Linked DNA regions of Macaca fascicularis. The protein of the gene in region 1 binds, or shares a complex with, the protein of each later gene. Links are inferred from orthologs where the notes say so. Each region holds a gene or a part of one and is shown on either strand. Other genes may lie near its edges.

Region 1 (5,167 bases):
CACTTCACAGATGGTGGAAATGAGGCTGAGTGACTTGACTTACCTGAGGTCCAAAAACAGTGGAATCAAGATTCAAACCAAAGCCTTCCGACTCCAGAGCTGGGGCTGACTGAATTCAATAAGTATTTATTGAGTGTCTATTATGTGCTAGATATTGAGACACTTCAGAGAACAAAACCAAAAGCCCTGCCCTCGTGGGGCTTACAGTCTAGCACTTACCGCCAGTTAACCTGCAGGCTACCTGGAGCCCCGGGCAAGTCACCGCACCTCTGTGCCTCGGTCCTCAGCTGCCCCATGGGAGAATAAGCAGACCTGGCACAGATGTGAATCACGTGCCTTGCTGTCCTGCAGATGCCAAACTGCCTCCCCACAACCCACCACCCAGACAGCAGATAGGGCTGAAGTTGATTTTGAATGATAAAGTACAATGGAGGGAGGGCAGAGGGGCTAAGCCTAGCTGTCTGGGGTGCTGTGGTGGTGGTGGGCTGGCTACACAAACTGCTGCTGCTGCTGCTGCTTCTTGGTGGCTGCCTTGCTGGCAAGGTCCTTGGCCTTCTCTGTAGCTGCCAGTGCCGTCTCCTTTGCCTTCTCCCTGGCTTCCTTGGCTGTCTCCACAAGTGTTTTGGAAGGCGCCTCGCCTGTCGTGAAGGGCAGGCGGCTGGCTTCAGAGGATGCCTGAAAGACCAACCTCATTTCCCTCCCCCATGCCACAGACCTCCCCTGGGCCAGGCTCCACTAAAAAGGTGGTATTCACCCTCCTCCCACCCCCAGTACAGACAAGAAGTCCCAACTCAGAGCAGGGCAATGACTGACCCAGACTCCACACCTGCTAGGCTGAATGAGCCTCGCCCTACGAGGAATCTCCACATACCCAGAAACTCACCTTGTAGCTTCGCCAAGATATATTCAAAACCCTTCATAGTCTTGGTCACATTACTTTTGAATCGGGCAAGACCAAATTCCTGCCATAAGATGAGAAGGGGAAGGATACTGAGTTGCCCATTGACCCCAGCCCAGCCCCAATACCAAAAGCACTGGGTCCCAGGGCCCCAACAGCCCCAACAACACTGCTTACCTGGACAGCTCTGGAGACACCAAATAAGCTAGAGGAGACCCAGGCTTCCCGGCGGATTTCGGTCCAGCCACTGTTGTCAGAGTTCACACAGTAAACACATCGTTCCTCCACCACCTATGCAGAGAGGCCAACCACAACCGTGGAAGAGTCTTTCATTTTGCCAACTTGCACATAAATTTGACTCCCTGTCTCTTTTCATGAGGCGAAGCGATACAATGAAAATCCATTCCTTCCCCTGACTGCACCACCAAGTGGCACTGACAGAGCACAAAGCCATAAATAAGGTCATTTTGCTCTCGAAAACTTCTCTTCTGACCCTTAAAACTGAAAGCAAAAGGTCTCTTAAGATCAACGAAGGGCCTTCCAGCCCGTCCTGCTCCTGCATTTTGTTTTATGCATCTATACACATGCAGTGTTTTAGTCGCCTTCCACCGACTGCAGCTCTGGAGCTTCCTGACAGTCCAAATAAAAACACTGGCCCGGCACTGTGGCTCCCGCCTGTAATCTTAGCACCCTGGGAGGCTGCAGCGGGCGGATCACTTGAGGTCAGGAGTTCCAGACCAGCCTGGCCAACATGGTGAAACCTCGTCTGTACTAAAAATACAAAAATTAGCCAGGCGTGGTGGTGTGCGCCTGTAAACCCAGCTCCTCAAGAGGCTAAGGCACGAGAATTGCCTGAGCCTGGGAGGTGGCGGTGGCACTGAGGTGAGATGATGCCACTGCACTCCAACCTGGGCGACAGAGTGAGACTCTGTCACCAGGAAAAAAAACAAAAAACAGAAAAAAAAAAAAGAAACAAAGAAAAGCACTCCCTTCCCCACTCAGCATCACTCCTGTGAGTCCAACACATATCTGTGCCCTGTACCCGATGGGAGTGACAACGAAATAAGATAGGTACCCTCCCCTACTGTATGAATGAGTCAAAAGACAGGTCCAGAGAGGATGACCAGCTGAAAAGAAGAAAATCTGAGGTCATACTCTACAGCTGTCAACCCTCAGTAACCCAGACCTGCCTCAGACCACAAAAGCTCCCTTATGGCTCTCTAGCCACATGTATCTGAGGAGCTATCTGGCTGGGAGGGGAGAGGGGGAGGTGCAGAATCACAGCAGGAGGCGTCTCACCATCAGCCGGGCGTGGTTGATGTTCCAGGTGAAGGTGGTCATGGTCTGATTCTGTGGGTCCACAATAGAGTCCTCCAGGATGTACACCGAGTGAGCAACATTGGCAGGAAACAGTCGCTCGGCCCAGCGGGGCATCCTGTTGGTCTTGGTCAGGAGTCGCCGGGACAGCAATTTCTGGTCAGGGGTCACCTCCCGGTGTACTATGTCTTCCGTCAAGACATGTTTGCTGCAGGTGTCAGGGTGAAGGTGACCCTCAGGAGCCTGCCCCTAAGAGATTGCCCGAGGGGATTCCCATTTGGAGTCTCCGGGCCTAGAGAGGCCACGCCTTCCTGTAACCTTGCAAGGTGGTAAGTGCTATGGTTCAGACCAGAGTCAAGGGCCCATCCCAGGGCAAATTCCAACTCCCGCCATCTGACTGACCTGGATTCCTGCCTTCTAGCAGCAATGGACCTCATGATTTATTGCACCCCAGGAAAGCGCCATGGGAAGAGGAACAGGATTTCCAATCCCAAGATCCCTCCCAACTCCCATACTGCCGCCTCTTCTTGTCTCACCACACTGAGAAAAGAATCTTATACTAAAGTCTCAAGCAAACCACCGCCCAGGCCCAACCTCCCTTCAGGACCTTGCAGGCCTGGCCTGGCCGCTTCCCCAATAAGGTCTACGTAGGATTCGATGTCGAGTCCTTCCTGGTCCCATTACTTGGGGATTACCCACACTTCGATCTCCAAATAGCGAGATGGCGAAGTTTTGCTCTTCCAAATACCACGTACCTATAGGGATTCGGGTACCGCTGCCAGAAGGCGGCGAATACTTGGTCCCAGGAACTCCGGAGCACGCTCTGGCCCAGGAAATACTTCACCATCGTCCCGGCCGGAGCGGGCTCAGCACCCGCGCAGCATCAGGGGTGCGGAGCCTGGGAGGCACGCGGGGGCCGGGCCGGGCCGGGGCTCGGCGCACACCCGCCGCCAGGCTCGTAGCTCAATCACCACCGCACCGCGCCCAAGCAGCTGCTGCCGCCGCCGCCATAAGTTGTCCGGCCGCGCGCTACTTCCGGCGCAGTCACACTGTAGCAACCGCTTCCGGCGCCCGCGCCACGTGACCTTGCGGCCCCGCCCCCTCGCCCTCTCGCCCCCTCCCGCGGGAGTCGCGGCGCTGCGGATAGGAGCCGGGTTGCAGGAGACCCCGGGTTCGGTTGGGATTCCCAGCCAGAACGGAGCTTAAGCCGGGCAGGCGAGCGAATGACGGAGTAGCGAGCTGCACGGCGGCGTGCTGCGCTGTTGAGGACGCTGTCCCGCGCGCTCCCAGGCCGCCCCGGGGTTTGGGGTCTTCGAAAGATAATCGGCGCCCGGAGCCGAACAGCGGGGGCACACGGGGCGCTGCCGAAGTGCAAGGCCACGGCCAGAGCTCGAGCTCGACGCGCTGTCTCGAGTCGTAGGTTGGCGCCGTTTGGGGTCGGGGTCGGAGGCTTGGGCGCTGCCTGGGCCGAGCGGAGATCGGGGTTTGCCTCCCGTCCCCGCTCAGGACCCTGACGTGGCTGAAGCGGCCCCAGGAGCATGAGCGGGCAGCGCGTGGACGTCAAGGTGGTGATGCTGGGCAAGGAGTACGTGGGCAAGACAAGCCTGGTGGAGCGCTACGTGCACGACCGCTTTCTGGTGGGGCCCTATCAGAACGTAAGTGCATCCGGAGGGGCCAGGCACGGTGGGCGGAGGGGTGGGGGGGGCGGTAATCTGCACCTATGGCTCGGATCTCTTCCCTCTCGTTGCAGACCATCGGGGCCGCCTTCGTGGCCAAGGTGATGTCGGTCGGAGACCGGACTGTGACATTAGGTATTTGGGTAAGTCCCCTGGGCATCTATTCTTGGGAGACTCATTCCTGAGGAGGTGTAGGTCCTTCCTATTACTGGTTGATTTGTGGCCTCATAGACCCGTTTCCTTATCTGAAATTGCGGGTTCTGGAGAACATGGCCTTAAGTTTGACTCAAGCCTTACTCTTTAGGACACAGCAGGCTCTGAGCGCTATGAGGCCATGAGTAGAATCTACTATCGGGGTGCCAAGGCTGCCATCGTTTGCTATGGTAAGGGCGGGGGGGTTCTGGCCTGTCCCACAAGAAGAGATGGGTGCCAGGCTAGCCAGAGAACAGCCCTTGACCAGTTGGTTGTGTCTCCTGCATGCCGCACACCAAGACCTCACAGACAGCAGCAGCTTTGAGCGAGCAAAGTTCTGGGTGAAGGAACTGCGCAGCCTAGAGGAGGTAGGTGAACAGACCTCACTAGAAGACTAGGGGCTGGGGTTCTGTTGGTCTGTGGGGGTGACCCTTGTCTTCTGTCTCAGGGCTGCCAAATCTACCTTTGTGGCACCAAGAGTGACCTGCTGGAAGAAGACCGGAGGCGTCGACGTGTGGACTTCCATGACGTCCAGGACTATGCAGACAGTAGCTGCTCCTCAGCCCTTTGGGGGGGGTGGGAGTGTGTGGCTGTCTGGGTGGATCACAGAAAATAGGGACTGCCTTGGCTGCCAGGGCAAGGTGCTCTAGGAGGTCTTCCTGGCCTCCTTGAACTGTGGGGTCCAGGAGACTGCCTGAACTGCTAGCCCTCCCTTTTGTCTGTTTATCTAATTCTCAGGTATGAGGCTTTAGTCACTTCTCTTTACAGATATCAAAGCTCAGCTCTTTGAAACATCCAGCAAGACAGGCCAGAGTGTGGGTGAGTGCTGTGCTGGGGCCTCACAGCAGGAACACACAGGAGCACCAGAGGAAGCTGAATAGGGCACAGAGGGCTGGGTCACTGGGAGATCCCAGGGCTACTGGCATTGGGCCCTCACTGATCATCATTTTTCCTGCCAGACGAGCTCTTCCAGAAAGTGGCAGAGGATTACGTCAGTGTGGCTGCCTTCCAGGTGATGACAGGTGTGTGCTTCCCCAGCCTTTATGGAGACTTACTCTAGGCCCACAGCCTCTTGCCCCTTTCC
Region 2 (5,333 bases), on another chromosome or scaffold:
CGCTGCAGTCTCTACCTCCCAGGCTCAGGTGATGCTCCCACCTCAGCCTTTTGAGTAGCTGGGACTACAGGCCCACACCACCATACCCCGCTAATTTTTTTGTAGAGATGGGGTTTCGCCATGTTGCCCAGGCTAGTCTCGAATTCCTGAGTTCAAGTGATCGGCCCATCTCACCTTCCAAAGTGTTACAGTCATGAGCCACCATACCCGGCCTGTAATTCAAGTTTCATACTTCTTTGGGCATATAATAAAACCAAATTACTCAAGTAATTGTGGGGATTCCGTGACATTCTGAGGTATGTAAGTGCTCTCCTGATCCTTTTTTGGTACCATATTGTATTTGTGTAGCATGTTGTGTAGCATAGTGAGGTTTTGACTGGGTGCAGTGGCTCACACCTGTAATCCCAGCACTTTGGGATGTCAAGACTGGCAGATTACCTGAGGTTAAGAGTTTAAGACCGGCTGGGCGCGGTGGCTCAAGCCTGTAATCCCAGCACTTTGGGAGGCCGAGACGGGCGGATCACGAGGTCAGGAGATCAAGACCATCTTGGCGAACACGGTGAAACCCCGTCTCTACTAAAAAATACAAAAAACTAGCCGGGCGAGGTGGCGGGCGCCTGTGGTCCCAGCTACTTGGGAGGCTGAGGCAGGAGAATGGCGTAAGCCCGGGAGGCGGAGCTTGCAGTGAGCCGAGATCGCGCCACTGCACTCCAGCCCGGGCGACAGAGCAAGACTCCGTCTCAAAAAAAAAAAAAAAAGAGTTCAAGACCAGCCTGGCCAATATGGTGAAACCCCATCTCTACTAAAAATACAAAAATTAGCTGGGCATTGCGGTGCACGCCTGTAATCCCAGCTACTCGGGAGGCTGAGGCAGGAAAATCATTGGAACCCAGGAGGTGGAGGTTGCAGTAAGCCGAGATTGCACCACTGCACTCCAGCCTGGGCGACAGAGCCAGACTGTCTCAAAAAAAAAAATCAGTGAGGTTTCTGATTGCCATACTGTACCACCTAGCTTAGACAAGTCACTTTTTCTTCACCTTTAAGTTACAAAACTCTCCCTGGTGTATACGTGAGGTTTGTAGGGTAACAGGGTAATAGTTCCATAAAATGCACTGAGTTCCAGAGGCAAATAATGATAGAAACTAAATGTTACAATTTATTCCATCTTCAGGATTACAGACATTACAGGGCAGGATGAGTAAACAAGGCAAATAAAGCCAGCACCTTTAGCTTCCCCCCCCACCCGCCCACCATTTAACCAGATGCAGCATTTTAAGGATATGCAGGTTGACAATTCACTGACTTGGGTTGAAAGCTGGCAATAGCAGATCTTTGCAATTTAGGTTCTTCCTCCATAGCTATTCCAAATATCTTAATTCCTGAACTACACACTGAGAGCTCTGAAATGGTGGTCATTCCAACATTCTTGCAGCTTTCACATCTTAATCTGACACCTCTGGTGAAGGCAGGGAACTGTGTTAAAAGCTGTCTTCCTCTTTGCTAATCCAGGCCACCAGTAATCTTAACCATTAGTTACTATATAAAAATAAAAGTGTGCTCAAAAGCACTCACTGAAACTGTTGTGCCCAGATCCTTTTTCAGAGCATTAGTTCCCTGAGAGAAAAAAAGAGGTCTTAACCAATTGCTTTCATGAACGATGACCCCAGTACAGTGTATATGTCTTTCGCAGCAGAAATCAAGAGGTCAGGCAGCTCTGCTCATCCTGACTAGTTTATCATCGTTTGCATACAAGGTATATTTATGTAAAGCTGATTCCACACCAAGTATTGCAACCATAATCTCAAAAAATTGTTCAATTTTAGCACACTGAGTTCCTGCCAGATGCCACAGCAGGTAAGAAATCATCTCAAAGAGTTCATCTTTTACAACTGAGAGGAAAACATCGAAGGGGGAAATAAAACTCCTCTCTCCTAAGTTCCTCATCAAATCTGATGGCTAGGTTCACAGATTTAGTTGACAAAAATCCAGAGTCCTCAATTTCTGGATTGAGAAATCCTTCAAGGTGACTGTCAAGGTCAAGAAGAATTTTCAGACTTTTCTTTGCCATGGCCCATGAATTCCAATCCTTCAATAGGAATCTCTTTCTCCTTTATTGCTTTCTGGTAGGAGGAGAAAACACATTATAAGGATCTATATGAAGCTCAAGTTGCAAGCTTTGTAAATAAAATATGACAGCACAAAAGTAAAATCAAGCTGATTATAAAGACTTATAACCATGATTCAAACCACATACTTTTTAAAAAACAAGTACCAGTAGGGTGTGGTGGCTCAGGTCTATAATCGCAGCATTTTGGGAGACCAAGGCAGGTGGATCACTTGAGGCCAGAAGTTAGAGACCAACCTGGCCAACATGGCGAAACCCTGTTTATACTAAAAATACAAAAATTAGCTGGGCATGGGGGTGCATGCCTGTAATTCCAGCTACTCCGGTGGCTGAGGCATGAGAATAGCTTGAACCTGGGAGGCGGAGGTTGCCAGTGAGCTGAGATTGTGCCATTGCACTCCAGCCTGGGAGACAGTGAGACTGCCTCAAAAATAAATAAAAACCAAAAGTACCATAATGAATAAATCAAGTGTAAGACCTGAGGGAGACTGGAAAAGGAGTTGTGAGGGAACCATTAAAATTAAGTGAAATTTGAAAAATAATCATCACTTTGTGTTGGTGAAAGACTTACTGGCTATGTGACCAACTAAATGGGATGAAGACAGCAACTACCTCGGGGAACTGCTGTGAGGATGTGTTGGGTTAACTTATTGGAAGTGCTTTGCCCAGTGCTGTTCTAACAATTCAAAGCAGTTCCACATCCATTGGGCCAGAATAAACATTTCCTAGCTGCAGTTGCGGGGACTGGTCAAGAGAGATAAACAGGCTAACGAAGGGTTTATAACATCAAAATAATGTGATCCTCCAGTCTGAAGTATAACCCCGCCCAGACCTCAGCTGTAATAGTGGAAAAGTGCACCACCTGCGAAAGAATCAAGGCAACCTGGTGCTAGTGAACTCGGATCAATCACTTCCTATTTCTGGGTGTTAGTTTTTTATGTACAAAATATGAGTAACTATACCCACCTTGCGAGTTTAGGATGAACACCAAATGAACCAAAAGATGTGACTGTGTGTCTTAAAAACAAAAGCACTGCACCAATATTTGTCATTCGGGGAGACACCCAAACGGCCTCGGTGGTGATGATAGGGGAGCGAGCTCCTGCCACTGACCTCACTGCGGCTTTTCTCCACCCTTCCAGTCCAGTCCCAACCCCCATAAAACACGACGAGTGTAGTGGGACACAGCGCGGAGAATGCGGGGCCTGGAAACAGAGGCGGAAGGGCTCACCTGAACACATTGCTGGTAGCGCTTGAAGAGGTCGGTGCACGGGTCCCCGGAGCTGTCCCCCTTGAGAAACTTCTCGGCGAACCAGCGATTGAAGCACTGGTCGTATTCGCGCTTCATGTCCGTGCATGCCTCCCCCACACTGTTCATGGCGACAGTGGTGTCGGCGGCGGCGGCAGCGCACTCTGATGTCATCACTCTTAGGCGCGTCGCTCGGCGTTACGCGCGGGCGCACTACGGGGGCCAAGGAAGGAAGAAATGTGGTCGCGGTTGGTGTGGCTGGGCCTTCGGGCCCCTCTGGGCGGGCGCCAGGGCTTCACGTCCAAGGCGGATCCTCAGGTAAAGGCCAGGGCCATCTAGGCGGGTGGCGGAGCAAGCCGGGAGGCACACCGGGGCGCCGGTGAACCACACTCCGTGCCTCATTCCTCCTCCAGGGCAGTGGCCGGATCACGGCCCAGGTGATCGAGCACCTGGAGCGTCTAGCGCTTGTGGACTTCGGCAGCTGCGAGGCAGTGGCGCGACTGGAGAAAGCTATCGCCTTCGCCGACCGGCTACGTGCGGTGGACACTGACGGGGTGGAGCCCATGGAGTCGGTCCTGGAGGACAGGTAAACTCGAGGCTGCAGCCCCGAAGCCTTGAGCGTGGCCCGTTCGCAGCCGTTTAATGTGACGATTAGCGAACAATTTTCCAGGGGGTTAAAGAGCGTTAGCGAGATTCAGGAACTTGCCCACGGTCACCTCGCGAGTCAGTGGCTTCACTCTTCCCCTTGTTCATTACGGATGCTCTCGCTCGTGTCGTCCTAGTGTAAGTAGAAACAAAACCCAAACTGCTCATCATCGCCTTTGTGTTTTTTTTCTTGAGACGGAGTCCAGACTGGAGTGCAGTGGCGCGATCTCGTCTCACTGCAAGCTCCGCCTCCCGTGTTCAAACAATTATCTTCCTCAGCCTCCCGAGTAGCTGGGATTACAGGCGCCTGACACCACGCCCGGCTAATTTTTTTTTTTGTATTTTTAGTAGAGACGGGGACGGGGACGGGGTGTCACCGTCTTGGCCAGGCTGGTCTTGAACTCCTGACCTCGTGATCCACCCGCCTCGGCCTCCCAAAGTGCTGGGATTATAGGCGTGAGCTACCGCGCCTGGCCTAATTATCGCCTTTGAGCCCCTACTCCATAGAGTCCCTGCCTGCTCACTCAGACATACTCTTCTCAGTACCCTCCTTGGCTACCTTGACTGCGTCTCCAGCAAGACAAGTTCTTTCCCTCTCTAGATCTTTGCACTGACCCTTCGTTTTTTCCTGCCTCTCAGTATTTGCATGGCTGCCTCCCTCTTGGCACAGGTCTCAGCTTATCTTCTGGGAAAGGGCTTTCCTAACCACTGCAAATCCCTTCTCCCCTTCTGGTTAGTAACACATCCTATTGGGTTTTTTCCTCTAACATTTTAATGGACTTTTGTTCATTTGTTATATCTCTTTTATTAAAATGTGAGCACTTTATGAGATTTGGTTCCGGTTGCATTCCTGCCTCGAATTTTTATTTTTATTTTTATTTTTATTTTTTTATTTTTTTGAGACGGAGTCTCGCTCTGTCACCCAGGCTGGAGTGCGGTGGCCGGATCTCTGCTCACTGCAAGCTCCGCCTCCCGGGTTTACGCCATTCTCCTGGCTCAGCCTCCCGAGTAGCTGGGACTACAGGCGCTCGCCACCTCGCCCAGCTAGTTTTTTGTACTTTTTAGTAGAGACAGGGTTTCACCGTGTTAGCCAGGATGGTCTCGATCTCCTGACCTCGTGATCCGCCCGTCTCGGCCTCCCAAAGTGCTGGGATTACAGGCTTGAGCCACCGCGCCCGGCCTTTTATTTTTATTTTTTGAGATGGAGTCTCACTCTTATCACCCAGGTTAGAGTGCAGTGGCATGATCTCAGCTCATTGCAACCTCCACCTCCCAGGCTCAAGAGATCCTCCTACTTCAGCGTCCAAGTATAGG

The links. Proteins that work in one complex are often made in the same cells at the same time.
Region 2: the proteins of PRELID1 (region 1) and TRIAP1 are in contact, whole or in part, in a crystal structure (PDB 6I3V), measured with the Homo sapiens proteins. The link is inferred for Macaca fascicularis from reciprocal best matches to the Homo sapiens genes PRELID1 and TRIAP1. Residues at the interface, in NP_037369.1 of Homo sapiens: Trp15, Asp16, Phe19, Ala20, Trp23, Gln24, Tyr26, Pro27, Val34, Leu35, Thr36, Glu37, Asp38, Ile39, Val40, His41, Arg42, Val44, Gln48, Lys49, Leu50, Leu51, Ser52, Arg53, Leu55, Thr57, Tyr79, Leu81, Asp83, Ser84; in NP_057483.1 of Homo sapiens: Met1, Asn2, Ser3, Val4, Lys12, Tyr15, Asp16, Phe19, Asn20, Trp22, Phe23, Phe27, Leu28, Gly30, Asp31, Ser32, Phe41, Tyr44, Gln45, Val48, Gln49, Ile52, Ile57, Pro58, Ile59, Leu62, Glu63, Phe64, Met65, Gly66.

The regions. Positions count from the first base shown.
Region 1 is NC_088380.1:184,238,265-184,243,431, reverse strand, and holds PRELID1 (PRELI domain-containing protein 1, mitochondrial), read right to left. Parts: upstream 3,244-5,167; 5' UTR 3,063-3,243; coding exon 2,971-3,062; intron 2,465-2,970; exon of another isoform or gene 2,424-2,464; coding exon 2,198-2,423; intron 1,190-2,197; coding exon 1,076-1,189; intron 963-1,075; coding exon 884-962; intron 639-883; coding exon 490-638; 3' UTR 101-489; downstream 1-100. Other genes in the region: RAB24 (ras-related protein Rab-24), read left to right, coding at 3,754-3,870, 3,966-4,034, 4,196-4,274, 4,384-4,451, 4,532-4,631, 4,852-4,902, 5,043-5,105. UniProt on the Homo sapiens protein: Involved in the modulation of the mitochondrial apoptotic pathway by ensuring the accumulation of cardiolipin (CL) in mitochondrial membranes.
Region 2 is NC_088385.1:127,470,997-127,476,329, forward strand, and holds TRIAP1 (TP53-regulated inhibitor of apoptosis 1), read right to left. Parts: upstream 3,541-5,333; 5' UTR 3,504-3,540; coding exon 3,357-3,503; intron 2,121-3,356; coding exon 2,037-2,120; 3' UTR 1,131-2,036; downstream 1-1,130. Other genes in the region: GATC (glutamyl-tRNA(Gln) amidotransferase subunit C, mitochondrial), read left to right, coding at 3,612-3,692, 3,788-3,960. UniProt on the Homo sapiens protein: Involved in the modulation of the mitochondrial apoptotic pathway by ensuring the accumulation of cardiolipin (CL) in mitochondrial membranes.